Linked DNA regions of Oryctolagus cuniculus. The main gene of each other region encodes a partner of the protein of the gene in region 6 in a complex. Links are inferred from orthologs where the notes say so. Each region holds a gene or a part of one and is shown on either strand. Other genes may lie near its edges. The genes, in order: B9D2, TCTN1, MKS1, TMEM231, TMEM107 and AHI1.

The links.
Region 1: AHI1 (region 6) and B9D2 share a complex: the UniProt entries of both Homo sapiens proteins name them as parts of the tectonic-like complex. The link is inferred for Oryctolagus cuniculus from reciprocal best matches to the Homo sapiens genes AHI1 and B9D2.
Region 2: AHI1 (region 6) and TCTN1 share a complex: the UniProt entries of both Homo sapiens proteins name them as parts of the tectonic-like complex. The link is inferred for Oryctolagus cuniculus from reciprocal best matches to the Homo sapiens genes AHI1 and TCTN1.
Region 3: AHI1 (region 6) and MKS1 share a complex: the UniProt entries of both Homo sapiens proteins name them as parts of the tectonic-like complex. The link is inferred for Oryctolagus cuniculus from reciprocal best matches to the Homo sapiens genes AHI1 and MKS1.
Region 4: AHI1 (region 6) and TMEM231 share a complex: the UniProt entries of both Homo sapiens proteins name them as parts of the tectonic-like complex. The link is inferred for Oryctolagus cuniculus from reciprocal best matches to the Homo sapiens genes AHI1 and TMEM231.
Region 5: AHI1 (region 6) and TMEM107 share a complex: the UniProt entries of both Homo sapiens proteins name them as parts of the tectonic-like complex. The link is inferred for Oryctolagus cuniculus from reciprocal best matches to the Homo sapiens genes AHI1 and TMEM107.

Annotation. Positions count from the first base shown.
Region 1 is NC_091449.1:13,272,478-13,276,239, reverse strand, and holds part of B9D2 (B9 domain-containing protein 2), read right to left. Parts: intron 2,469-3,762; coding exon 2,343-2,468; intron 1-2,342. UniProt on the Homo sapiens protein: Component of the tectonic-like complex, a complex localized at the transition zone of primary cilia and acting as a barrier that prevents diffusion of transmembrane proteins between the cilia and plasma membranes.
Region 2 is NC_091452.1:8,296,866-8,301,257, reverse strand, and holds part of TCTN1 (tectonic-1), read right to left. Parts: intron 3,721-4,392; coding exon 3,583-3,720; intron 3,131-3,582; coding exon 3,005-3,130; intron 2,618-3,004; coding exon 2,532-2,617; intron 2,036-2,531; coding exon 1,895-2,035; intron 673-1,894; coding exon 510-672; intron 1-509. UniProt on the Homo sapiens protein: Component of the tectonic-like complex, a complex localized at the transition zone of primary cilia and acting as a barrier that prevents diffusion of transmembrane proteins between the cilia and plasma membranes.
Region 3 is NC_091448.1:33,639,599-33,643,990, forward strand, and holds part of MKS1 (tectonic-like complex member MKS1), read right to left. Parts: coding exon 4,249-4,392; intron 2,926-4,248; coding exon 2,828-2,925; intron 2,666-2,827; coding exon 2,537-2,665; intron 2,326-2,536; coding exon 2,221-2,325; intron 1,281-2,220; coding exon 1,172-1,280; intron 681-1,171; coding exon 624-680; intron 1-623. UniProt on the Homo sapiens protein: Component of the tectonic-like complex, a complex localized at the transition zone of primary cilia and acting as a barrier that prevents diffusion of transmembrane proteins between the cilia and plasma membranes.
Region 4 is NC_091449.1:57,934,248-57,939,174, forward strand, and holds the start of TMEM231 (transmembrane protein 231), read right to left. Parts: upstream 3,353-4,927; 5' UTR 3,250-3,352; coding exon 3,111-3,249; intron 3,018-3,110; coding exon 2,848-3,017; intron 1-2,847. UniProt on the Homo sapiens protein: Transmembrane component of the tectonic-like complex, a complex localized at the transition zone of primary cilia and acting as a barrier that prevents diffusion of transmembrane proteins between the cilia and plasma membranes.
Region 5 is NC_091448.1:52,666,643-52,671,820, forward strand, and holds the start of TMEM107 (transmembrane protein 107), read right to left. Parts: upstream 3,388-5,178; 5' UTR 3,163-3,387; intron 2,942-3,162; 5' UTR 1,568-2,941; coding exon 1,481-1,567; intron 1,366-1,480; coding exon 1,303-1,365; coding exon of another isoform or gene 1,298-1,302; intron 1,207-1,297; coding exon 1,106-1,206; intron 537-1,105; coding exon 432-536; intron 220-431; coding exon 150-219; 3' UTR 1-149. UniProt on the Homo sapiens protein: Plays a role in cilia formation and embryonic patterning. Requires for normal Sonic hedgehog (Shh) signaling in the neural tube and acts in combination with GLI2 and GLI3 to pattern ventral and intermediate neuronal cell types.
Region 6 is NC_091436.1:33,406,240-33,411,163, reverse strand, and holds the start of AHI1 (jouberin), read right to left. Parts: upstream 3,012-4,924; 5' UTR 2,873-3,011; intron 2,613-2,872; 5' UTR 2,551-2,612; intron 1-2,550. UniProt on the Homo sapiens protein: Involved in vesicle trafficking and required for ciliogenesis, formation of primary non-motile cilium, and recruitment of RAB8A to the basal body of primary cilium.

The DNA.
Region 1 (3,762 bases), on a different chromosome or scaffold from region 6:
CCTGTGCCAGGGGAAACAGCGAGAGTGGTCCAAGTGCTGCCACCCCCGTGGGAGACCCAGAGGGAGTTCTGGGCTACTGGCTCCTCTGGCTGGCCCAGCCTGGGCTGTTGGGCCATTTGAGGAGTGAACCAGCAGAGGAAAGATCTCTTTCTCTTTCTCTTCTCTGTTGCTCTGCCTTTCAAATAAAATAAATATTTTTTGAAAAGAAAGAAAACAAAGATGATGCCAGCACCGGGGACTGGAAGCCAAAGAGTTGAAAGGACAGCTGCCTGCCTTACCCTCCATCACCCACATGGCAGCCAGGAGGCGCTCTCCCCTCCCCCCCCCCCCCTCTCCTTTTTAAATGTCTTTACTACCAGCCGGTGCCATGGCTCACTTGGCTAATCCTCCATCTGCGGCGCCGGCACCCAGGGTTCTAGTCCCGGTTGGGGCGCCGGATTCTGTCCCGGTTGCTCTGCTGTGGCCCGGGAGGGCAGTGGAGGATGGCCCAAGTGCTTGGGCCCTGCACCCCATGGGAGATCATGAGAAGCACCTGGCTCCTGCCTTCGGATCGGCGCACTAGCCATAGTGGCCATTTGGGGGGTGAACCAATGGAAGGAAGACCTTTCTCTCTCTCTCTCTCTCTCACTAACTCTGCCTGTCCAAAAAAAAAAAAAAAAAAAAAAATCTTTACTATTGAGCAAAGATACCACACAGAGTGCTCTCATCCTTCACTCCCCAGTGCCCACAAAATGGCTCAGACTGGGCCTTGCCTAGGCTGGACAGAAGGCTGGGAACGCAGTCTGGGCCTCTCCTGCTAGCCTCCCAGAGTGCGCCTTAGCAGGAAGTCGGAGCCGGGAACTGGAGCTGGTATCAAGCCCCGGCGCTGTATGGAATGCCGGCGTCTTAGCTGCTAGGTTAAATGCCAGCCCCAAAAAGATCCTTTAAACGTAAAACGTGCCTCAGCTCCTGGGGCTGTCACCCGCGCCCCCCACCCCCACCCCGCCACCCTCTCACTCTCCCTTAGTCCACAAAATGCCCTTTGAGCCTTCCACACCCAGCCCTCTTACATCCTGCTGCCTTATTAGCGCCTACCAGCTTTTCACGGCAAAGTTGCAATGTCCCCTCCAGGAAGCCCTCTCTGATCGCACTGACAAGGTGGGGCTCCTCCTGTGGGAGGAGGTTGCAGGTTGCCTTGCCCACCCTGGGCTGTGCCACCCACATGGCATGGTCAGCCGTCTGAGGACAGCAACAGGCACAGAGCGGGCTCTCAGGAGATGCCGGTTACATAGTGCTGGAATGGCACACTCCAGGGCCCCTGACACAGAGAAGGAAACACAGAGAGGGATCGCCCACCCAAGGGTTCACTCCTCAGATGCCAGCAACAGCGTGGGCTGGGCCAGAACAAAACCAGGAGCTTGGATCTCAATAGGGGTCTCCCATGCGAGTGGCCATTACCTGGTGCTCTCCAGGGTGCACACCAGCAGGAAGCTGGACCAGAAGTAGAGCTGGGGGCTGGCGCAGTGGCACAGTGGGTAAAGCCGCTGCCTGCAGTGCCAGTATCCCATATGGGCGCTGGTTGAGTCCTGCACCACTTCCGATCCAGCTCTCTGCTGTGGCCTGGGAAAGCAGTGGAAGATGGCCCAAGTGCTTGGGCCCTTGCACCCGAGTGGGAGACCTGGAAGAAGCTCCTGGCTCCTGGCTTTGGATCGGTGCAGCTCTGGCTGTTGTGGCCATCTGGGGAGTGAACCAGTGGATGGAAGACCTCTCTCTCTCTCTCTCTTCCTCTGCCTCTCTGTAACTCTGCCTTTTAAATAAATAAATCTTAAAAAAAAAAAAAAAAAGAAAGAAAAGAAAAAAAGAAGTAGCACTGGCACTCAAACCCACGACTGGATGTGGGGTGCAGGTATCCCAAGCAGCACCCAAACCTCAGAGCCAGGTGCCCACCCTGTGGCCCGCACTTTCCACCAGGTTTTCTGATGCCACTCCTCTCCTCCACTCTGCTGGTTTCCCCGTGAGCAGCACTCGTTCAAGGGAGGAGCCTTGCTGAAGCACAGCGGCCAGCCCTGGCCTCCCTGTCTCTAATTCACAGAGGCCCTCCCAGCTTCCCCCTTATTGAAGACCTGGTTTCTCTCTTTAAGGAAGGCTGCTTCCCTGTTCCTGGGAACCCACCTTCCCTGGCCTCCACCTCAGGCCCCCAGCCTGGGGTCCCCAACAGAGCCGGCCTGGGGAGGGTCAGCTCAGCCTCTGCAGGGCCAGGCGTGGCTAGGAAAGGGACCCACAAGGCTTGTTCCAGTCCCAGCAGCTTTGGGGCTACTGGCCGCCTCCCCTCAGCACACCCCGGGCTAAGGCCTGGAACCTACCTTGGAGACCTTTGGTGGCGAAGTGCAGGTCGATGGGGTGGGACCAGTAGGCCATGTCCCCTACCTGGGGGGTGTCCACCTGCGTTTGGCCCTCCCGCACACCTGACAGGAGCTTCCATGCTGCCCCTGTGGTGAGAGCCAGGACAGAGACAAGTGGGCAGGAGATGCCATTGTGGCTTCTCCCTGGCGTTTGTGGGTAGGGGTTACAAAGTGTGGACTCTGGAGCAAATGTTGACCTTCAAATCCTGCCACTACCTCTTCCTACTTGTACAACCCGGGGCAAGTTACCATTCTCTGCCTCAATCTCCCCATCTGTGAAAGGGGCAAACAAGACACATTCCTCAGAAGTCTGTGAGTGTGGGTGCCAGTTCAATCTCACTTTACTACCATCTCTCCCCCCTGGGGGTCCCCGAGGACTGAGATGGACTCATGGGCACCCAGTCCCTCTTGTGGGGCCAGATAACCGTGGGAAAATGCACCAAGGGATACACTGGGCTAAGTGCTTGGGCAGTGCCTTCTGCTGCCCGGCAGGACTCCTACCTCCCCCACGGCAGACTCTCCTGCGTGGCCCACAGGGCACCGCATGGCCTGGCACCTGCCCCCCTTTCTGAACTCACTGCCCGCACAGTCCCCTCCCACACCACCCGTGGGCCTCACTGGTCCCATTTCTGTATGTCTGTCCCCCTACCTCAGGGCCTTTGCACTGACTTCCCTGTTTGGAAAGTTCTGCTCCCAGAAGGCCCCATTCCCGGCTTTTTGCTCATCTTCTGGGCTCAGCTGAGGCGCCTCCTTTTCATTGCGGCTCTCTCTGACTGTCCTATCCAAAACTATCCCAGCACCCATTTCTTTTCCTTTTAAAAATATTTGTATCTAGTATTTGAGAGGTAGAGCGATAAACAGAGAGCTCCCACGCACAGGTTTACTCCCTGAAACGCCTGGAACAGCCGGGACCGGGCCACCCTGAAGCTGGGAGCTGGGAACACAACCCATGTCTCCTACGTAAGCGGGAGGAACCCAGTCACTTAGGCCATCCCTGCTGCCTGCCAGGGCTGGCATTAGCAGGGAGCTAAGCCAGCAGCCAGGTGTGCGGCGGGATGTGCAGGTCCTAACCCCGAGCTAAACACCCGCCCTCTATAGCCATTGCCTCTCTCTCTCCCCAGCACTGTCGCCACTGGAAATCACTGAGTTAAGTTTCTTCAGCGGCTTATATAGTGTCTGACGCTCGTAGAATGAGCTTCAGGAGAGCTTGGCCCATGCACATGGCGGGATCCCCAGTGCGTGGTATACAGAAGGTGGTCGATACATATTTTTTGGGACAATTAAGTGACCCTAGAAGCTATGTGTGCTATGATTACCATTTTCCAAGTACAGAAACAGGCTCTGAGAAGGAAGTCACTTGGTTAATTATTCCATGAACATT
Region 2 (4,392 bases), on a different chromosome or scaffold from region 6:
TCAGTATTACAGATCCAGGCCAGTCTGCTCACAGCACCCAGGCTCCTACCCAGACTTGCCCACCTCACTCCCTGCGGGGCCCCACCACCCGGCCCAGGAGAGGGAGAGACTACCGGCCTGTGGCCTTCAACTGCCCCCCCCCTTTTTTTTTTAAATTTTTTTTTTGACAGGCAGAGTGGACAGTGAGAGAGAGAGACAGAGAGAAAGGTCTTCCTTTGCCGTTGGTTCACCCTCCAATGGCCGCCGCGGCCGGCGCGCTGCGGCCGGCGCACCGCGCTGATCCGATGGCAGGAGCCAGGAGCCAGGTGCTTTTCCTGGTCTCCCATGGGGTGCAAGGCCCAAGCACTTGGGCCATCCTCCACTGCACTCCCTGGCCACAGCAGAGAGCTGGCCTGGAAGAGGGGCAACCGGGACAGAATCCGGCGCCCCAACCGAGACTAGAACCCAGTGTGCCGGCGCCGCTAGGCGGAGGATTAGCCTAGTGAGCTGCGGCGCCGGCCCCCCTTTACCTTCATGTTGGATGACTGGGTGACAAAGTGGACGGGCACCCAGTCCAGCACATCCTGGGCACGGGTATTTCCAAAGGGAGCCACGTAATCTGGAAAGCCCTGGCCCACCAGCAGGCTCTTCACTATTGGCGCCAAGAGCCGACATGGGAGGGCTCTGGTCAGTCTAGGGAAGAGAAAAGAGGTCAACAAAGAGGGCCGCTGTCCCCTAGAAGCTGCTGCTAGGGGCCTCAACGGCAGCCATGCCCCTCAGCTTCGCTCTTAGCTCTGCAAAAGGGGGACTCTTTGGCAGAAGCCAAGGTGGCTCAAACTTCGTGAAATCTTAGCCAAGGAGATGAGTCCAGATGTTTCTCAAACTGGGTTCCCGAAACTACTAGAATGGTTCCACAGCCAAAAGTTTAGGAGACCCCGTCTCTCCTTGAAGCACACAGCTTCTACGGCTCTAAGCCTTCCCAGAGGAAGCAGCTGTGGTTTTCACTTTGATTTGGTGTCCCCAAACATACTGGACTACAGACCATGCCTGCTGACATCTTGTAGAAACGTATTCCACGGAATGCTGGCCTAAAGAGATCAAAACTAAAAATGCAAATGTTAGACTGCTCTAGCCAAAATCATGATAGTATTAACCTGGGGAGAAGTGGAAAGTATGTGGCAAGAGCCAAATCTTCTTCCATAGTGGAAATCCACCAAGGAAAAAAAATTAAAAAAAAAATATCAAGAAGTGGTTATTTCAAGATTGGGGTTGGATTCCCAAAGAAACTCGGCTACATAAGTTGGAATGGTAGTCTCTGAGGTTTGAACTGCTGGCTTTATAATGAGCCACCCAGAGCTATATGACATTTTACAGTATATACACAGTAGACAAAATGACAATAAAAACACATGGATCACATTTGGGGTTCCTCTCACTGGTTTCCTCATGCTGTGCATGCAAATATCAAAATTCAGAAATAAGAAGGCACTCCAAAAAGTTCATGGAAAATGAAATTAAAAGTTTACTTTGGTGCCAAAAAAAAAGTTTGAAATCCATACATATGAAGACTCTTCAAAAAGTTCACAGGAAATGCATTATGTTGAAAAAATTACACATGAATTTCACATTTTTTGCACCAAAATAAACTTATCTTTTCATTCGATTTCTCCATAAGCCTTCTGAAGTGTCCTTGAGTAGGACTTCCGGGGGCAACGTCGTGGCTGGAAGTCAACAGGAAGCATGCAGGCTTGCCATGCTCATCTGCCACACCTGCACAGTTCTGCCACCACCCATCAGCAAGGCCAGCGTTCAGGAGCTCAGCAGCCGAGGCAGAGGCTGGACTAAAGTGGACAGGCTGGAAGGCTCTCCTTGTGGTTGGCATACACACACCTGGACAGGCACAGTGGCTCCTTACCTCAGTTTACAGCCAGACTGCATGTCGTGACCAAACAACACCGGGGCTCGGACGCCCTCCAGGGCTAAGCAGTCTTGCTCAGTTGTGCTACGAAGAATGGTAAGTTGTCCGTACCTATTTGTGGTCTGGATGATTCCAGATATTCGCCGACAGTTAAGGCATAGCCGCCTAGTGCTAGAGCAGCCCGAATCTCAGGTCAGGAGATGGCATCACCTCTGTGATGTGAGACACGAGTGAGACCCAAAGCCAACCTCCCTGGACCCCTGGGATTCTAAGTTCTAGCCATCTTCCTTGATTCATAAATCCTCAGGAAAAAAGGCTTCAGAAAATTGGCTCTTCAACATTAATTCCAAATTTTCAAAATGACTACATCCGTGCAGGAGATTCTGTTTAAGTATTAAAATTAATTATTTTAATTAATTAAACCCAACTAAATGAATGTCAACTTTTCTGTCTTAAGATTTTTGTTTCCAAACACTGACATTTTCCCCACCCATGCCGTCTCACCCCGATGGCTCTGCAGCCAGTCCCACCCCCGCCAGAGCCTCCGGGAGCGTGCTCTGGCCGACACTGGTCTCTCCTCCCTGGAAGCAGGCTGGCAGGGAGCCAACCTTCTCTACAGAACCACAAAGGATATCCCTTCTGAGGCTGAAATCCAGCAACTAACGGGAGCCCCACAACGTAACCAGGGTTGCCACTGAGAGGAACCGGCTTCGTGCTGTGCTGAAAAACAAGGCAGAAGTGCCCCCCAAGAATTCCCATTTCAATGAGGGAACAGCAGGAAGAAAATGAGATGCTTCTCCCCACAAAATCTGGAATCTCCTGCCAATAAAAGAATGTCTCCCCCTACTCAGAATTATAAATATACTACTGGTGTGGGAGTGCCCCAGGCTGTAAAAGAACAAGCTAGCGTGGAAAGCAATCGCATTTCCAAGTGGGAACGGCACAAAGACTACCCCGGTTCCATTACCAACTCCACCTGCCACACGCAAACCTTTTGTTCAGTGCAGAGGGTGAGATGGGGTGATACTGCTAAATTGAGTTTTTCTCAGGAAGAACGCATGACTTCTTAACTCGGCAATTAGACTTGTACAAAATGACCCGCCTTACCTGAATGAAGTCGATCTCGAACTTTTGCTGCAGTGGAGCCACCGCACTGCTGACTGTCCCCAGGAGGAGAAAGAGATCGGCGTCTGTGACTTCACCGGCGTCTGTGTACGTGAGCCGGTACTTTACCTACAAACAAAATCAGACTGCAAACACACCTGTTCCCACGACAGCTCAGCTGCTGTACGCGGAGCAGCAAAGCCTTTCCGCCTCACCACTAGCTGCAGCTTTTCACTGAGGAATGCGAGAGAGGTTCCCTCCGCGTCTCCCCAGCCGGGGGGGGGGGGGGGGCACCAAAGCCCCTGTGTGCCCAGCTTCTGTAACTAAGTTCCAAACCACCTGGTCCGTGCAGAATTAACCCAGCTCCACAGGGGACATGCGTTAAACCAAAGACAACAATGTCCTGATGCATTCCTGCAAGTGTACTTGTCCCTTGGAGACAAGTGTGATGGCGCACAGGAGGCCAGGAGAAGCAACACTGCGGGAGGAACCAGACCTCTTTGCAGGTGTCCCGGCATTCCGTTACCTGCAGAGGACTCTGCCAGACAGATGGAGCTTCCGAAGCCAGACTGGGCACCTACCTCAAGGACGACGTTCGTGCAGACTGTGGCATGCCCAGCAGTGATCAGAGACGGTGGCAGCACCTCTGGGGCTGCTAGTCGGGTGAGTGTTTTGTTTAGAGACTGGATGACAATGGACTGGATCGTGATAGGGACCTGCTGAGCAAAGATGTGGACTTGAAAGATTCTCTACAACACAGGGGAATGAGTTAAAGTAATAAAACTTGAACCAAGCCTCCACAGAGACAAGCCTGCTAAAGAACAGTGTGCACACTCTGAGTCCACTTTGTACAAATACACACACTTATATATATTCAGACATACACATTCACTAAGAAACCCTCATGAAAGATACAACCAAAATCACCTAGTGGTGGGATTGTGGGCAACAGCAAACAGGGACAACCAAGGCCAATGCTGCTACAATACTTCTCATCTGTGGCAGTGGCCGGCACACTGGCAAAGCAGCAGGCGACCCTCCTGACTGTACCACTCATCCAACCCGTCCTCTGAAGTTCAAGTCTCGGAACCACTGTTCAGGAAGGAACCTAAGGTTCCCAGTTGCCTAGATGCTTTGGACTCGGTTCTCAATCGCAGACTACTGCAGAGATGAGTGATCTGTGGTGTCTGCTCCCACAACCGAGGTGACAGCAATGTCCTTCTACGTGAGAAGCCCCCACATGAAAACACGATGTGGCTGTCATGACAAAGAAAACCCGTGGCTGCCGTGCCCTCCGCTGACCAGGCTGCCCCAGCGGGTGTCAGGACCATGTAGAGACCGCACGATCTGATCAGCCCTCGTGTAAGTCAGGGCTGAACCTGCACGTGCAA
Region 3 (4,392 bases), on a different chromosome or scaffold from region 6:
CAGGTTATGGCTCAAATATGTAGGTCCCTACCACCCACATACGAGACCTAAATGGAGTCCCTGACTCCTGGCTTCAGCCTCGCTCAGCCCTGGCTGTTGAGAGCATTTGGAGAGTGAACCAGTGGGTGGAAGATCAATCAATCTCTCTCATGCTCTGTTTCTCTTTTCCAAATATGCAACATAAATAAATAAATTTCTTTAAAAAAGAGTCAAAATATCTCCCTTCTCTATAAGCTAACTCAGGAAAATACTCACATTAAAGTTGAGGAAGACATTTTTATCTGTATATTTGTTTTTGAAATTAAAGTATCACATGAATGCATTACCACTGAGTAAAAACTCAAAATTGCCCAAGTTTAGGGAATAAAAAGTGGAAGTCACCCACGCCCATGCACTACCTGGCAGGCCACCCTCCCCAGAGAAAGCCTCCGCGGAGGGCCTTTCCGGTGCACCAACATGGCTACACCAGCACAAGCACTGTGGCCCGCGTGCTCTTCTGCGACACCCGTTCTACTCTGAAGACTCTGTCCTGGAGACTTTCCAAGAGGCACAATTCCTCACTGACAGTCAGAACGCTCCGGCCGCACACGGCCCACCGAGCTGCAGGAGGCCCAGCTACTCACCATCTCAAAGTCGGTGCCCACGAGGCTGCTCAGGTACTCCTTGTGCCGGCCGTAAAGCTGAGGAGCCAAACCACACCAAACCGAACCTCAGGATGCGGCCCCAGCCAGACCAGGGTTCAGTTCTGGACGGGCAGGAGAAAAGCAGCAATAGCAGGAGTGGCAACTGAGGACTGGAGGCCTTCGCATCCCAGCACCGACAGAGGCTCTGGAGCCAGCTGGTCTGGGACAAACCCTGGCTCTCATACTTGCAAGTTCGCTGGCCTTGGGCAGATCCTTAGCTCTGCAGTCTCGGTTACTCACTTACAAAAAATGGTAACTATAAAGGTGTTCACCTCAGCTGGTCTGCTGTGAGCCCTCATTGAAAAATGGGATATGAAGTGCCTGGGGAATGCTCAAAGACAGCCACTGGGACGGCTGCTACGTCACAGGACGCCCCCAAGGGTCCGCGGTGACAGCACAGCAGAGCTGCCTGGGGGCACATGGGCCACGAAGGGCGCAGCCCACCCCCCACCCCCCGACGTCGGCACCAGCAGTGAAGTAGCTCTTACATCCTTGAAGACACGCTGTTCCCGCTCCTCCTCTTCCGGCTGTGCGAGGGAAGACACGTTGTCGATTGTGTACTTCCACAGCTCCTGCTTCTCCCCCTCTGTCTCGATTCTGTGAGGTCAAAACCACAAAAGGACCCACTCTGATGGTAAGAGAGGAGGCCCTCCAGACAGGCCGTCCCTGGCCACACGTCTCACTTGACGCACGTATGATGGAAACGGCCATTAATGACAGTCTGGAGAGGGAAACCAAGTGGCAAAGCAGAAAGGACCACAGACGAGGGAATTTCAGGCCCATTTCGGCCTCCAAGTCACAGTGCAGCCCAAAGGCACAACCCTGGCTCCCAGTTCTCTCACCTAAAAGGTGGAGAGATTGGTCCAGACATCTTTTTTTTTTTTTTTTTTTTTTTTTTTGACAGGCAGAGTTAGTGAGAGAGAGAGAGACAGAGAGAAAGGTCTTCCTTTGCCATTGGTTCACCCCCCAAGTGGCCGCTACGGCCGGTGTGCTGTGCCGATCCGAAGCCAGGAGCCAGGTGCTTCTCCTGGTCTCCCATGGGGTGCAGGGCCCAAGCACTTGGGCCATCCTCCACTGCCTTCCCAGGCCACAGCAGAGAGCTGGCCTGGAAGAGGGGCAACCGGGACAGAATCTGGTGCCCCGACTGGGACTAGAACCCAGGGTGCCAGTGCCGCAGGCTGAGGATTAGCCAAGTGGGCCGCGGCGCCGGCCCAGACAACTTCTAACGTAACAACTATTACCTACGACAGCCCAGAGGAAGAGAGCTGGCTGCATTCACCTGCCCTGCTCCGGTCCCTACACTCCGCAGCGTGCAGGAGCGTCTTCACGTCAGCAACCACCCTGCTGGAGGGGTGGCTTTCAAAGTGGTGCAGCTGCACACGAAGTGCCAGGGACCGGAACAAAGTATGAGCTGCTGCCTGGGGACTGCAAAGCTGGCGCACATGCAGAGTTTCTGAGAACGTCGGGGATCAGGAGCAGGAAGAGAAGCCAAAGGCAGGAACGCCAGTTGCCACTGCCCCTCCCTTCCTCTCCTCACCTGTAGGGTCCTTTGAGGCCAGTGAAGTCCGGCTTCACTGTGATCACGCCATTGCTGTCCACCTTCAGAGTACACAGGACGTGTTCATGCTTCTTATAGCCAAGCCTAGGAACCAGGAAGTCAACACCAAGTCACCGGTCCCCTCCAGGAAAAGAGGCACAGGTCGTCGGCCTGCTCCGGGGAAGAGGACGAGGCTTCTTCTACTAAGAAGACAAAGCCCTTCCCTCCCGAGAGCCAGAAGACTGTGCCAGGAAGCCGATGGTCCGCGACAAGGGATGAGGCGGGTGGGGGCTGGGCAGTGAGCCGCTGCACTCACTTGCCGTAGGGCCCCAGGTCGGCCATGATGTACATCGTCTGAAGAGGGGTGTTAATGACGTGGTTGTTCTGGACGAAGTCTTCCGAGGGCTCCCAGGTGACAATGCGTGACTTGAGGATGCCGCCCTCCCTGGGAGACACCGTCGGAAGGGTCACTTCCCCAGCACCCCCTGCAGAGCCTGACAGGGGAACCCAGGGAAGCACACTGGGCAGCCCGAGTCACCGGACACACTGTGCACAGTGGCACGGAAGGACCACCCAGCACCCTTTGTCCCCGGGTGCTTGCACTCACGTCCCTCGCCTGTCCTGCCGCCGCCGCCTGACGTTTGCCATTCGTTCGACCAAGAATGACGGCACCTCGCTGGCCGCAGTGGTCATCTTCTGACAGTGCTGGGGAAAGAGAGCAACCCCGTGGAAGCCAGCTGGTCAGGGCCACAGGGGCCCGAGTGTCTGCGTGCTCATCTTCCTTGTGAAACCTCTTCAGGAGCCTGAACCTGGGTATAACCACCTCACAATTACACGCGTCAATGGGGGAGTGTGGCACAAACAATCCAGAGAGGACTCCTGCCGTGTCTCGGTCTGCCCTAGAATTGAAGAATTCCTTTAATTTTTTATTTATTTGACAGGGAGGGAGAGCTCCCATCCACTGGTTCACTCTCCAAACACCCACAGTGGCTGGACTGGGAGCCAGGAATTCCATCCAGGTCTCCCACGTGGGCAGCAGGAACCCAGTTACTCGAGTCTTAGGGTGCACGACAGCAGGAAGCTGGAGTCAGGAGCACGACTTGGGTATCGAACCCAGGCTCTCTGATATGGAGAATGGACATCCGAATCACTAAACCAAATGCCCATTCCCTTCCCCCCGAATTCTAGAAATGAGCTGTTTATTCTGATTTAAAGTCGGTCTGCATTCGTTGAGCACCTACAAACAAAAAGCTGGGTCAGTCTGCCCAGTAGATGTTGAAGTTAACCAGGTTGCTGGAAAACACCAAATGGGATACAGACATTCTGTGGAAAATCCTGACGTGGGTCACTGAGCTCTACCTGCATTTTTATTTGCTTTGCCAAAACAGACAACCTGAATATTATATGCTACCAACCCACATCTCTCTTAACAGAAGCCTTCCAACCTTGCAAAACACTCATTTAACACCTGCCCCTTGCAGAGCTGCAGGGTTAGAGACTGAAACCACAGAATGTAGGCTGCACCCTCCCGGAGTTGAAAGATCTCACTGAGAAGCTAGAGCTTATGCAGTGACAGAAGAAAACAGAACAAGTCCACAAGGGTATGGCAGAGGCAGCTGCAGGAGACCACATTCCCCTCGCGGCTCTCTGAAGCCTCTTCAAACACGTACACTCAGAGCTGTGGCTGAGGTCCCTGTAGAATTTTATCTAGATTGTCCCAGATTCCACCCACGATGCCTGGAGGCAGTCAAGGGGTTGCTTCTGTGGGTTTGCACCCTGCAAGTCTGGCCTCCGAGACGCTGCACGCCCCTCCTGGCCCTCCAGCAGGCGGAGACGGGAGCAGCAGCCACACCACCTGCACTCTGCCCACTCTGCCTCAGCTTGGCTGCCAGCAGCTCACGGCAGTTTCCAGACAGCCTATGGATCTCCTCCCTTGCCAGGCTTCCGATTTAGCACCCAGAACCCAGTGAAGCCAAAAAGCCAGGGGAGGCAAAGAAGGAAGCTACAGGGCCTTGGGAAGAACAATACCTCCTCCAAATTGGTGTAGCGGTCAGAGTCGGTGTAGGTAAAGATTCGTCGGTTCTTCCTGCCCCCCGACTGCTCCAGCTTCAGGATCTCTTGCCGGTACTGGTAATCCAAAGGGCTCTGACAGGCTGCTTCATTCTGGTACAG
Region 4 (4,927 bases), on a different chromosome or scaffold from region 6:
TGCTTGGGCCCTGCACCCCATGGGAGACCATGAGAAGCACCTGGCTCCTGCCATTGGATCAGTGCGGTGCGCCGGCCGAAGCACGCCAGCCGTGGCGGCCATTGGAGGGTGAACCAACGGCGAAAAAAAAAAAGAAGACCTTTCTCTCTGTCTCTCTCTCTCACTATCCACTCTGCCTGTCAAAAAAAAAAAAAAAAAAAAAAAAAAAAAAAAAGGTATCTTATAAAATAATATTAATCAAAGAGAAGGGGGGGACTTTAGAGATGCTGTCCAAGGTGAGCTGACCAAAGCAGAACCCAGGCTGTTTGTGACTTCCGAGGCATTTTCCCAAATTAGCAGTCACCAAGATGCCTCCCCGCACTTGGTTCAACCTTGACTGAGGACCGCTGTTTCTGTAGCTTCCTAGACAGTTTCGCAGACAGCTTGAAGCCAGTCGGGCTTTATGTTCAGAGTCAGAAAATAAAAGTATTTTGCTGTAACAAAGGTTGAGAGTCTAGGGGCCAGTGCTGCGGCATAGCAGGTAAAGCTACCGTCTGCAGGGTCGGCATCCCAGGTGCTGGTTCGAGTCCCAGTTGCTCCACTTCCAATCCAGCTCTCTGCGGTGGCCTGGGAAAGCAGTAGAAGATGGCCCAAGTCCTTGGGCCCCTGCACCTGTGTGGCAGACCTGGCAGAAGCTCCTGGCTCCTGGCTTTGGACTGGTGCAGCTCTCACTGTCGTGCCCAATTGAGGAAGGAACCAGCGATGGAAGACCTCTCTCTCTCTCTGCCTTTCCTTTTCTCTCTGTGTAACTCTGACTTTCAAATAAATAAATAAATCTAAAAAAAAAAAAAAAAAAAAGAATTAAGAACCAGGGCTAGCATTGTGGCGCACTGGCTGTAGGGGGTAGGGGAAGAAAATATTCCATTCGAGGCCGGCGCCGCGGCTCACTAGGCTAATCCTCCGCCTAGCGGCGCCGGCACACCGGGTTCTAGTCCCGGTCGGGGCGCCGGATTCTGTCCCGGTTGCCCCTCTTCCAGGCCAGCCCTCTGCTGTGGCCAGGGAGTGCAGTGGAGGATGGCCCAGGTGCTTGGGCCCTGCACCCCATGGGAGACCAGGAGAAGCACCTGGCTCCTGGCTCCTGCCATCGGATCAGCGCGGTGTGCCGGCCGCAGCGCGCCGGCCGCGGCGGCCATTGGAGGGTGAACCAACGGCAAAGGAAGACCTTTCTCTCTGTCTCTCTCTCTCACTGTCCACTCTGCCTGTCAAAAAAAAAAAAAAAAAAAAAAATTCCATTCGGTGGTACACTCCCCAAATGGCACGATGGCCAGGGCTCGGACATGCTGAAGCCAGGAACCAGAAGCTTATTCCAGGTCTCCCACATGGATACAGGGCCGCAAGCACCGGGCCATCCTCCACTGCTTTCCCAGGCACATTAGCAGGGAGCTGGATCGGAAGTGGGGCAGCCAGGATTCGAACCAGTGACCATATGGAATGCCAGGGCTTTAACCCGCTGTACCACAGTGCCAGCCCCAAAATTACCCAGTATGAAAGTGATCTCATGGTATGGGTACCATAAACATTAAGAGTTAGTTTTGGCTTCTCATTAAAATTGGAACTGCACGCCAGATGCAAGGGGGGACCAGGGCGGTGCACTGAAGGGAGTGGTTGGTTTCTGGTTGCAGAGCTAAGAGGCCAACAGCAGCTGTGTTGCACGAACCCGTAAAAACAATGAATGAATGAAACTTAATGGTTTATCCTTGTCTTCACAATTATCTCAAGCCTGCATGGTATTTCTTAGACTCAAATGACCAGAAGCACATGATAGAGAGGAATATAAACATGTGGAGAAAAAACCTGGGGCTAGTGCTGTGGCACAGTGGGTTTGACCTCTGCCTGCAGCGCCAGCATCCCCTATGGGCACCGGTTCAAGTCTTGGCGGCTCCACTTCCAATCCTGCTTCCTGCCACTGTTCCTGGGAAAGCAGCAGAAGACGGCCCAAGTACCTGGGCCCCTGACACCGACGTGGGAAACTGGGTACTTTCCTAATTAAAATAAGTCAATAGGGGCTGGCACTGTGGCGCAGCGGGTTAACGCCCTGGCCTGAAGCACCGGTATCCCTTATGGGTGCAGGTTTGAGACTCGGCTGCTCCACTTCCGATCCAGCTCTCTGCTGTGGCCTGGGAAAGCAGTAGAAGATGGTCCAAGTGCTTGGGCCCCTGCACCCACTTGGGAGACCTGGAAGAACCTCCTGGCTCCTGGCTTTGGATCGGTGCAGCTCTGGCCGTTGCGGCCAACTGGGGAGTGAACCATCAGGAAGACCTCTCTCTCTCTCGCTTTGCCTCTCCTTTCTCTGTGCAACTCTCATTTTCAAATACATAATAAATCTTAAAAAAAAAAAAAAGCCAATAAATTTCAGAAGTAACCAGAGAAAAACTATCTGTAACAAACTTTCTAGTTATTCATACGACCTATCATCTTTTTGCTGGGAACATTTTTTACACGAGTTTGTCTTGTAGGCCACTCACCTCAAGGACGTGGAAGAAGGAAAACTAGAAGTTTCGGCCCTCTTAAAGAAAAAGTCTCAATTTTACCCCGGACAGATGCACGCTGGAGCAGCCTCTGAGATCACGTGGGGCAGGCTCCCTCCGCCGGGGCCCTGCCGGGGAACAGGTGCGGGGCGCCCGGTCTCCGAGGGTCAGTCCTGCCCGGAGACGCCCGCCCCCGACCCCCAGCTTCCGCCGCGCCGCGTGAACGCGGCGACACCGCGGGACCCCGAGCGCGCACCGTGCCCGGCCCGGGTCAGCACGCAGCGCTGCCCGGGTACCTGGGCGTCTGGGGGAAGCGGAATTCCAGGCGGGAGCCACGCACCGAGACGAGCGGGACGCGCAGGCGATCCCCCTGCAGCCGGTTGAAGGCGGGGAAGGTGCTCCAGGCCAGGAAGCCGTCGCGCTCCGGTCCCAGCAGGGCCACGAGCAGTACCTGGTGTTGGAAGCGCACGGTCGGCTGCTCCTCGTAGCTGCTCCGCTTCAGCCAAAACCCTGAGAGAAGAAGGGCGTGAGAGGGAGAGGGGGACAGGTCAGGCAGGCCGTCCCGAGCGGAGGCGGTGGCGCGCACCGGCCTAGCAAGCTCACCGTGGCTCCGGAAGGCCACCAGCAGCGGCGGGATGTAGGTGAGCGCGGCGGCCAGGAGCAGGAACAGCGCTGCCTTGGAGCAGAGCCCCGCGCGGTAGCCGCGCTCGGCCGGGTGGGAGTAGAGCTGGTACAGCGCCATGGACGGCGCACGCCGAGACCCCTACGCAAACCGAGAAGGGACGACCAAGTTTGGCTGTTCCCGGCTGCCATCGTCGTGGTCTCCACGGCAACCGGCGGCGCCGGGAGGAGGACCAATAGTAGCGGCGCGGGCCTCTAGAAGGGGCGGAGCTACCTGGAGAGGGGCGTGGTCAGCCAGTGGACGGGCCACCGAGAGGGGGGCGTTGCGTGTTTTGCTTCGGGACGGCTGAGGACGGCTGAGTGGTCCACGCTGATGCCCGCAGGTCGCACACGCGTGGCCTCGCTCCTCGACCTGGTCCTGGACGAAGGCCAAGGCCGGGTTGCTCCGCCTCTGTGTTCTGTGGCTCCGGAAGCAGGACAGCGCACAGGACCCAAACCCTCGGCTCTGGGGCGGGCAGGGTCATTACTACGTACATTGTTACCTGTATTGGGTGCAGGTTCGGCTGCCGGTTTCAGAGGGAGCTACTAAACAAGATACATTTCTTTTTAAAAATATTTATTTGAAAGAGTGACAGAGGGAGGCAGAGATCTTTCAACTGCTGGTTCGCTCCCCCAAATGGCCCGAGGAGCCAGGAACTCCCTCTGGGTTTCCCACTTAAGGGCAGGGGCCTGAATATCTGGGCCATCATCATCTGCCTCCCAGGATGCCCGAGCAGGAAGCTGGAGTGGAAGCCGACCAGCTGGGACTTGGCACTCCCCTCTGGGACGTGTTGTGCAGTGGGTTAAGCCTTTTTTTTTTTTTTTTAAGGTTTAATAATTTATTTGAAAGAGTTACAGGGAGAAGGGGAGAGAGATCGTCCATCCGCTGGTTCACTCCCCAAATGGCCGCAGCAGCCAGGACTGGGCCAGGCCAAAAACAGGAGCCAGGAGCTTCAACTGGGTCTCCCACTGGGGTGCAGGGGCCCAAGCACTTGGCCCCTCCTCTGCTGCTCTCCCAGGTGGAAAGTGGATTGGAAGTGGAGCAGCCAGGACTCAGTTGGCACCCACAAGGGATGCTGGCCCTGCAGATGGTGGCTTAACCCGCTGCACCACAGTGCTGCCCCAGTGGGTTAAGTCGTACTTCCCAAAGATAACATTGGTTTATTGCTAATTGATTGCCCACCGCCTTCTCTGCCAAGCCAGTATTTTGAACAGGGTGGAAGGATTTTTAAAACCTATGATCCAAAAGAAAGGAAAAGAAAAAAAAAAGTAAGCAAACAACAAAAAAAAAGAAAAATAAATAATAAAACCAATGGTCCACAGCCAAGTTCTCCATCCAAAGGCCCTGAAGACTCCAGTTGCAGGATCAGGAGTCAGTGTGGGGGCCGGTGCTGTGGTGTAGTGGGTAAAGCCACCGCCTGCAGGGCCAGCACCCCATATGGGTGCCAGTTCGATTTCTGACTGTCTGCTTCGGTTCCAGCTCTCTGCTATGGCCTGGGAAGGCACTGGAGGATGGCCCAGGTCCTTGGGCCCCTGCACCCACATAGGAGACCCGGAGGAGGCTCCTGGCTTCACACTGAGGCAGCTCTGGCCGTTGTAGCCATCTGGGGAGTGGACCTGTGGATGGAGGACCTCTCTCTCTTTCTGCTTCTACCTTTCTGTAACTCTGCCTTTCAAATAAATAAAATAAATCTTAAAAAAAATCAGTGTGAAGGTTTGTGCTTAGCAGCAGTAGTTGATGCACTATTTTGAAAGCAGCC
Region 5 (5,178 bases), on a different chromosome or scaffold from region 6:
CACTGACTAAAACGCTATCCCAGACAATTATCCCAACACCGACATCCTCCACCAGAAGCAGTTTCCGGGGCGCGGCGACGCTGTCCTGCCAGGAACGGGAGCTTCTGGCTCCCCCAGCCCTGTTCTCCACGTTCTTGCAGTGAGGATGATCAGAAGGGTTTCTTTTTCAGCCCAAAGACGGCGATGAATAATGCCACTTCAGTGACAGCTGGGAGGGCGCTGTGGAAGGCAGGTGGTGGGGTCAGGCCCCCTTCCAACATAAATACCCGAATCTCCAAACCAGACATCCCAGCCCCGAAGTGTAGAGGGTGGGATTGGAGGGGGGACTTCAAAGGACCACAGGATGTGGTCTTGGTGTCTCAAACATTCAGGGAAGAGCTGGATGGGGCGAGCCTTCCTCCCCACCCCCCAAGACTGGGTGCTAACCGCACCTGCAGAACACAAAAATGTACCAGTACGTGGTGCACTCCCAGCGCTCGAATATGAAGAACGACAGGGCTACAGATGCACTACAGTGCGCTGCGATGGCTTGTGGGCGACACACAGGAGTCAAGGAAAGTCTTGGGGCCACAACAGCGACGGGCTATGGCAGGCCAGTGGTGGAGCTCCCAGGCCTTGTGCGACGGCGGGAGTCAGCAGCCCTGCCTTCTGATTTTAACAGGCCCACGTGTAGCGGCCTGCGCTGAGCCTGCACTGCCGAGACCCCAGGCTACCCTCACCCCACATGGAGGGGCCAGCCTGCACCCCCGAGGGGAGGTCAGAGCAGGCCCCCATGGACCCCACAGGAATGCGGACAGCGACTTGATCCTCTCTGCTGGAATCACTCTCCACCAGGAGGCCCGCAACTGGAGAGTCAAGCGCCTCCCTCAATCCTTGGCTCTTTTACCCCCTCCTAGAGGATAGTGGGGTGTGTGTGTGTGTGTGTGTGTGTCTGCCTCCGCCTCACCCCCATTTACCTCCAGGGCCCGGTGCACAGCGGCATCCACAACTGTTTGAGGATTGTGTCAAATCCCTGCACTGCCTAAGCAGAGGCGGGGCTCCTGGGGGGAAGGGGGTCGCTGAAGGGAGTCGCGCTGGAAACGGGTCGTGGGGGCAGAAAGGATACAGATGAGGCTCTGGGTGCTGTTGAACATGGACACTCCTGAGAGGAAGCCGGCCAGCTCCACGGCAAAGAGGCCCAGGGTGACCGAGAGGGCGGCCACCAGCCTGCAGAGAGGAAGGGGAGCGGCTCAGGACCCCCGGCCTCCGGGACTCCCACCGCCTCTTCCTTCGAACCCCCACCCCCCCAAGAGCTCACTGCACGTCCTGCTTCTCATACTCCTCGGGGGTGAATCGGAGGGGCAGGCAGGCCTGGACGTTGCTGTCCTGGGGAGCGGGCAGAAAAGGAAAGGAAGTGAGAGAGGCCGGCTGAGACCCCGGGCGGGGTGGGCGCGGCGACCACGGCGAGATGGCGACGCGGAGTGGCGGCCGTGGGTCTTACCCGCGACCAGAATAAGGTGATGACGACCACCAGATGCGCCAGCAGCGTCAGGAAGCGGGAGGGCACGAGCCCCGAGATCCGGCTCATGCTCCTCAGGGCCGCGGGCGGCGGCGCTGGGAAACCTCTCCCGGCCCGCGGCCTTCGCGCGCCTCAGGGGCCGCCCCGTTGCCTTGGTAACTGCGTACGCGGACCGTGCGCCTCGGGTTCTGAAGATCTCGCGAGAGCCGTAAATTCTCGAGCCGCCGTCGTGCAAGTGCGCCGTGTTCGGGGACCCCGCTGCGGCCGCCAGCCTCCTAACCGGAGGACTACGTCCGGGGGTTCGCTGGCTGCTCAGGTCCGGAGCGGCGCGGCCCCAGGCTGCATTGCCGGGAATGGCCTGTCCGCGGAGGAGGTGCTCGCGGACTGCTGCGGCCGGCGTGCCGGTCTTAGGTTGGAGGCTCAGACGCGGTCTTCCCTTTCCGTCCTCGTAGCTTCCTTGTGCCCTGAGCCCAACGTGGAACGTTCACTGGACCTACCTTGTCCGGCAGGCCCGTTGTCACGGAGCCCTTGGTGGTCGGAGCACCCCAGACATCTTTGCCGGGTTCGGTGAGGGATTTGCATAGTGCAGAAGATGGTGGCAGCCTCAGCCTAGGGACGGCCCCGCCGGGACTGGACAGGGCGAGCGTGGACGAAGCGTCCCGCACAGGAGGTTTGGAGCTGCCTGGGACGCAAGGCTCAGCTCTGGTTCCGGGGTCTCCGAGGTACCGGCCGCACGGGCTCCAGGAAGACCCCTGCTGCTTGCGCACACCCAAGGGGCTTCCCTCCCCGCTTCTGAGGAGAGTAACCCCAGCCTTCAAGTCAGCCTGCACTGCAAAGCCTAGTGGTAGGCAGCCCAAAAGGAGGTGGAGCGTGGTCGCGGCAGGCCTTGCAGCCACCAGGCGCGACGTGGTCAGATTCGTATTCTCCACGACCCAGGTTGCAATATGGAGAGACTAACGAGGAAGCCATAGAAGTATCCAGAAAGGACAGGGTGAAGCAAAGACGATGGAGCAAAGCAGAAGGATTGGGGAGAGGGTCTGGCTCGGGGCCTGTGGGTGGGTGAGGAAAAGGGAGAGTCAAGGTGACCCAAGGATTTTGCGTTCAACAGCTGGAGGTTTGGAGCATTCTGCTCAGTAGGCGTTCTGCCTAGGAGACGGGCTAGACAGTACAAACCGAGTTCTCAGGTCCTTAGGTGTGGACTCATGAACAGGGAGTGGGCAGCCTATGTCTGCTTTGTCCTTGTCCACAACCTTGGTTTATAGAAACTTGCCTCAGAGAAAGTCGTTTCTTGCCTGGGTTTTAGAGCCTGCTGGTGGCCATGGGCTGTGCTGCGGGTGACCAGCTGTCCTCCCGTAGGTGGCCACTCACTCCAGGGCTGGATTCGGTATCTCAGCATTTGAATTGGTGACAAAAGAACTTGCAAACTTTTCATTTTTTGGCATCCTAGGAAATTTCAAACACAACGTAAAAATGAAACAGTATAACAAACCCCTGGGAGGGCCACTGCTCTGCCTCAACAGTTGTCAGCACGTGGTCAGCTTTGTTGCCCCCTCCCCTCCACCACAACCCCACACGTGTGCATTGGGGTACAAATAAAGTCCACTTGGCTGACATGTCTGAAATCTCTGTTAATCTTGGGTTTGCCCTCCTCCCCATCACCTCACCTTCCTTCTTTTCTTGCTGAAGATACTGGGCCACGTGTGGCGTCATTTCATTCTCTCCTGGCACTGTGTTTCCTGCAAACTGATGGTCAGGTCTAATGGTTGATCTATGTGTCATTCAGTTTTCTGGTAAGATCACATCCCGAGGGATGGTTTGTACTTTCTGTTCACCTCATCAGGAATCCTGCTTGTCTGTGTGTCTGTCTGTCTGTGGTGCTGAAGTCTGAGTGGTGGCTTCGGGTGCGGTCAGGCTGAGCCACCCGTGATAAAATTCTTCATCCATTCTCACCTAATGGTACCACGGGTCCTCATTGCCTAACTGCATGATTTCAATAGCGATTGCAAAATGGGGATGGCCTAATTCGAGCCCTCTTCTGCATCTACCAGCTAGAATTCTTTTATCAGTAAGAATTTTCCATGAGATACGAGTCATACAGGAAAGGCAGGATAAATGGGTCCTTTTTTTTTTTTTCCATTATTTGCCAGTTTTCAGAATCCCGGTTCAGTAGTGTCCTACAAACACAACTAGATCTTTTTAGTAGCATGGTGACCACATAGATTTTAACATCTTTTGTGTATTTCAATCTACCTTTTTTTTTTTTTATAACTAAAGAACATTTATTTTCCACTAAGAGTTTGCCTTGAGGATGTAACTAAACTGAGCCACCCCCCACCCCATCTCTAAGGGTTAGTACAGTGACTGTTATAAAGCAGATCTCAACAGTCTGAAGCTCTGGAACCAACATTAACTGACAAAAAAATTCCATCTAAATCCTCATAAAAATGTTTAAGTAAAAAAAAAAAAAAAGGGAAGAAAAAGAAAAGAAAAAAGGGGCAATGGGGGTTTCAGATTGAACAACATTCTCACACTTCATCTGATACATTCAATCTGGCTAGAGTGTACCAAGTGGAAACAGGATCACTATAATACAAAACTCCCACTACAGCACGCTGTACACACCTGTGTTCCAAGCCCACCCCCATCCCCCTACTGCTTCCACTCCATTATTTTCCCGCCTGTTGGGCCTGCCGGCGGAGGAGCACATAGATCTTCTCTTTGATCCAGTCTTTGTTATAAGGCTGGTATGTCTGGGTATCAGCCCGGTAAACAAGGCAGCTGAGGTCTGCCAGATCATCAATAAAATCAAACAACTGACTGATATCGTATGTGATAGACGGACTGTTGGGATTCATTCTTTTCAGATGTTCCTCATACATTTTACAAATACCTTCCATGCATTCATTCACAGATTCATAGTCAGCATAAGTTCTGCCTTCTGGCCTCTTGGTAGGCTGTACCAGCAAAATGGTATGAGACATCGCGCCAAACTCTTCTCTTTGCAGCCGCTGCCGACACCGCCGCCGCACACGAGCTTCTCATTCTACCTTTTTTTAAAAGATGCATTTATTTTATTTGAAAAGTGGAGTTACAGAGAGGAAGAGGCAGAGAAAGATCTTGCATCCACTCGTTAACTCCCCCAGATGGCCACAACAGCCAGGGCTGGGCCAGGCCGAAACCAGGAGCCGGGAACTCCATCCAGGTGTCCCTTGTGGGTGATGGGTCCAAGCACTTGGGCCATCTTCCGCTGCTTTCCCAGGTGCATTAGCAAGGAGCTGGATTAGAAGTGGAGTCAGGACTTGAACTGGCGCCCATATGGTTTGCCAGTGCTGCAGGCTGGGCCTTTAACCCACTGTGCCACAGAGCTGGCCCTTTAACTTCTTCTTCTTCTTCTTTTTTTTTTTGTTTGTTTGTTTGTTTAATTGGATTGTTTGTCTTTTCACTGTTGAGTTACAAGTGTTCTTCATGTATTATGATTTCTATACCTTTATGAGATACACGAAAGTATGCCAAACCAGTTTATGCAAATTGCATAGTAAAACAAACTATCCCTGGATTCCATTTTTTTTGTATCAAAGTATCTTTTAGTTCCATTTTCCATGAACTTTTGGATATGCCCTGGTTTTAAAGCCCTAACCCTTCATGCGGCGGCATTTTGAGGTGGGAGATGATTAGGTTTA
Region 6 (4,924 bases):
GCTGTATTATAGCGCAGTGTGGTAAACTGGCTGAAACCTAAGTTCTAGAATTAGTCTCCATGGTTACTTGTATGCCTGTGGACCATGGATCTCCTAAACCTTAAAACCAGCCTGCCTATTCAAAGGGTTGTTAAAAGGACTAAATGATTTAAACAGTACTTTAGAACAAGGACCAACAAATATGAGCTACAATTTTAACAGGAACTTCCTAAGGGGATTGTGTGGGGCAGTTTGAGCTGTGTATCTGAAGGACACCAAGTAGCTACAAACATCAATTCCACCGTCAGGTCCTTGGTTCAAATTCCAGCTCCATTTGACAAGGACCTCAATTTCCTCATCTTTCAAAAGAGAATAATAATATCATTCACTGGGTTTTTGTAAAGATTAAATGAGTATATGCAAGGAAAACTGTTGGCACAAAGCCTACTGCATGGTACATGCTTCAAGAGAGAGCTGCTTTACTACTGTGTGATATATACATATATATGAGAGAGAACACAAAGGACATATAATCATATTATGTTTGGGAGGCAAAATAATATATTAATCCATTAATCCAGCAGGAGACCTAGGCTGATGGTTTGGGAATAATTTATAGATATTTGTACAATGGTTGCAAGAAAATAAAAAGCCAAAGATTGAATTCTAGAACGAGGAGGTAGGTGAAACACAGGGACAGAAAAGTATCACAGAAGGAAAGAGTTTTCAGAAAGGTCTATGCTGTGTGGTGTCTACAGTTGCTGCACACTTTGGGAGTGCCCGCTGGATCTGTAATCATGAAGTCACGTGTGCCAAAGCTGTTTATGGAGGGGCAGCAGCTGGGAGCCACAGGTTGAGGAATGAAAGGCAAGACCTGCGGTAAAGGTACGCAGGCAATTCTTTCTAGAATTTTGCTTCCAACTGTCTTCTTCCCACTCGAGATGCAATAGTATGAGGCAGTAGCTTTCAGGGGTGAAAAGACTGTTAGGATTTTGATGTCTGCTTGAGACTGTTTTCAGGCTTCTCATGACCACCCTCCCCTCCACCCCTCTGCACTGCATTCAGGATCATTTTCTAAAACACAAAGGTGATGGTGGTGTGTGATTGCTTTAAAATTCCTCACCAGTTCCCAATCGACTGGTGGAAAGCACTGGCAAGTCCTTACCACTGAGAAGACGACTATTAATGACTGGATCCTTTGCCATTCCTCACAGCCCCTTCACCGCCACACCTTCACACAGCTTCTGGGCTCCAGCCACGTGAAACTACTTGCAGGGCCTGACCAACGCCAAACTCTCTCCTGCCTTTGTAGCAGGTCACATACCCACTTCTCTCCTGAGAAAAGCCTGCCCTGCTTTGACACTCTGACACTAAATGCAAATGGCACCTTCCCTGGGGAGCACCTTCCCCCAAAGCACAGCTGGATCTTCCAACTTCCCTTTTCACCCTGGCACAAATGGTTCTAAACTGGCTGCTCCCTCTATCCCGCAACCCCCTCCCCCAACTACTGGCTTTTGGAAGAACAAGCCTGCACTATCTTTATATAAGTATCTCCATTTTTAAAAGGCAGCAATTATGGCTCCAGATAGGAAAAACTCAGGCTTGAGCTCCTGTCATGCTACTTCATGTGGCCTTGGGTAAGCCAGTTTCATTAAGCCTTGGTTTCTTCCTTGTCTAGGAAACTAAAGTGGCCCCTATTTTAATCATAAGGAGAAAAAGAAATATCAGAAAACAACATAATCAGTAAACTGCAGGTGCTCGATGTCTACAATTATTTTAAAAATAATTACACAATACACAATTAAGTAAATTTTGTATTTACATTTACTATCATTTAATATTTTAATGACCACTGAAATAAGAGATACTATTTAATAACAGAACATTACAAGTCATCATCTCTAAATGTTATTTAGTATGTACAGCAAACACATTAGAAGAATTAATGATTAATATTTGATTAGTAACAGCTTCAAAATTTAAAGTCTGACTTGGAAACATATTCCCAAATCTCATATACCCCGTGATGTTAACATTTCTCCCTCACAAACCCTTTCACAAAAGCTTCTAAGAGATACTGCGTAGCAAAATTTAGCCGAGATTACGTTTCGTCTTTCTCCCTGACCACCTGATCAGCAGCCAATATGTGACTACAGATCAAGGGGGAGGGAGAAGCAGACAGGCTCGCAGAATTCACTCCGGCTCCAAACCTGTACCAAGGAGGAACAGAAATCAGAACCCTTAGTAAATCAACAATCGCCTTCATAAAGATCCTAAATGCGGTTTCAGACACCTGTGGCATCTGCAATTCTTCCAAAGAGACTTTTAAACACGTCCCGGAATCCTCCTAACTGGCGCTCTTGCTCGCAATAACAGCGAGCGTAAACGCAACAGGTGAAGGAACTGTTAGCATCTCTCTCTCCAAAGAAGAGCAAGCCCTGTCTCCACTTTCCCGGTTAAGGCTGACACGCCGCGCTGACACTCGGGAAGGCTCTCATCCCCTTTCTGTGTTTATCAAAACGCCTCTAACAGAATTTGACTCTTTTCTTAGAAACGTAACGTATCCGTCACCTTTTCTGGGTGTCATTAAGAAGGCACTTCACAGGTTCAACATTCAGCGCCAGGTTGACACTCTATAAGGAAATAAACACGCTTATTACGCATCTGAGCCAGAATCCGGGCTGGGAGAGGCAGCATCGGAACAGCACGCCGGACGCTCCGACGCCGGAGAAGTCGCCCCCTTCCCGGGCCGCGCTGGGCCGCTCTGGGCCGCTCGGCCTGCGGAGGCGCAGAGGGAGCCCCCAACGCCGCCACCCCTCCAGAGGGGCCGGGGTAGGTAGGCCGAACACCCGGGTCCGGGCTCCCGCCACCAGCGCACCCACACGATACTCACCCAGAGCGCAGAGCCGCGTCTCCCGCACAAGCCTACACCCCGGGCGGCGCGAAGCGGCTCCCAGCCCCAAGCAGGGAGGGCGAGGAGCCTACGCAGCCTCGGGAGCCGCCAGCAACACCGGCTCTGAGAGCGGGCTCGGTGCCGCAGTGCGGGCAGCGCGCCGCCGGTGACGTCAGCGCCGGCCTACGCCGCCGTTCCCATGACAACCAATGCGGCCCGGCTCCAGGCCTGGACGGGGGCCCTGCGGGAGCGCCCTTCCCGCGGCCCCGCCCCCAGGCTCTCTCCGCCTCCGCCGCGGGCCCGGAGTTGCTGCAGTGCCTGTCTGCCCGCGCCCCTCAGCCTGCCGCCGGGCGCGCGCCCCGGGGCCGCGCCTCCGCGGTTCTAGAAGGGGCAGGAATCTCATCCCCAGGCCAGCAGAGGGGAGGCGGGAATGCGCGGGTGCCGCCTCAGAGCCGCCGGAGCTTGGCCTCCGTCCGGAAAAAAGCAAGCGCGGGAAAAAGTGGGGCAAAAGCAGGCGGGGAGGCGGTCTTGGAAGCCGCCCAAGATAGGAACCTTGAATGAATGAAGCGAGGAAGCCAAGAAACAGACTTGTCGCACCCCACGTGGTCGCCCCCACAAAGTGAAACGCGCGTTGAGAGCGTGGAGAATGAGGAGTTGTACTCCAGAGTCTTCGGGAAAACTTATCCACGATTTGTCTGGCGCTGAGTTGCCTTGAAAGTAGAACAGAAATTAAAACGTCATCTTTCTACACCTGATGACCCCCTCCCACCTTGCAGATTTCTGCCACAGGCGCCATCTTTGGTTCTGAGTCACCAGGGATGGAAAAACACCAGACGCCTTACTCGTCCACGCTTAGTGAGAGGCCGTTTTCTGCAGTTGGCAGCCACGCACCAGAAACCTGTTGCCTCATTTGTAGGGCCAGAGAGTTTGTGTATTTCTCTGGTTGCCAGCTTCTCCATTCTCACTGGCATCACTGCATCTTATAAATGATGGCAAGTGTTTCTCCAGAACCTCTGAGGAGGCGATGAGAAAGAAATATTACCAAACTGTGCTACTTTTCCCTCCAAAACTGGCTGGAAGAATTTTGTGTATCCTGTAAGAAAAGAATTTCAGGTGGGAGACAGTAGCGGTAAGCAAGCTAGCCAAGTTTCACGAGGTAGTTCATCCGAGATGGTGGGCAGCTCGGCTCGCCAAAGAAACCAAGTGCATTGCCTACATGCAGACTGGGGTTACTGTGAGTTAGGGGTCCCTTTCTGCTGTGTCGCCTTCCCGCTCCCTTTTTGGGGAGTGGGCGAGGGGGCAGATATTGCTGGGCAAATGGTTTTTTGGGGGTGAAGTTCGTGAAATTCCTCGCAAGGTTTTATTGCCAGATTTAAGAGCCACCTTGGCAAAGGGCCAGGAAGAGTGTCCTGAGAGATCTCCGGAGGGAAGGCTGGCAACCCCTACAAGGTTGTCAGATATGGATAGGACTTTCTGGAAACACTGGGTGCCTTCCAAGGCTTGCTTCTAAGGCTGCTCCCTTCCTTTCCACATGTACTTCTTGTTTGGGCCCTTTCCCATAGGCTAATGTCTACCTTCCTATCCAGCAAACCTACTCCTGGCTTTTTATGTTGCTTTAATCTCTTCAGCCTGCCATCATCCTCCCAGTGTTTGAGTAAGATGCCTGTAGGCACCTTCTTACACCAATGTGCATTCTGTCTTTCTGCCAATCCCAGTGTATGGTCCAGCCAGCTCAACCCGAACTGCTAATGCCAGCCTTCCACCCTTCCCATTGGAATTTTTGACATGGCCTCCTTTACCAATCCTCTGACTCCAGTATTGACTCTTAATCTCCACTTTCCATGCCGCTACCAGAATGACCTCACTAAAAGTGTAAGTTCGGTAATGACATTGCTTTGCTGAAAATTCTTCAAAAACCATCAGTAGATCGAATGACTTTGCCTGATATACAAAACATTCTGTTTTCCTTACTAGTTTCACATCTCATTACCTCCTGGTTTCAATTTTATGCAATACTGCATTATGTATATCATGCAGTTTTGAGCAATAGTC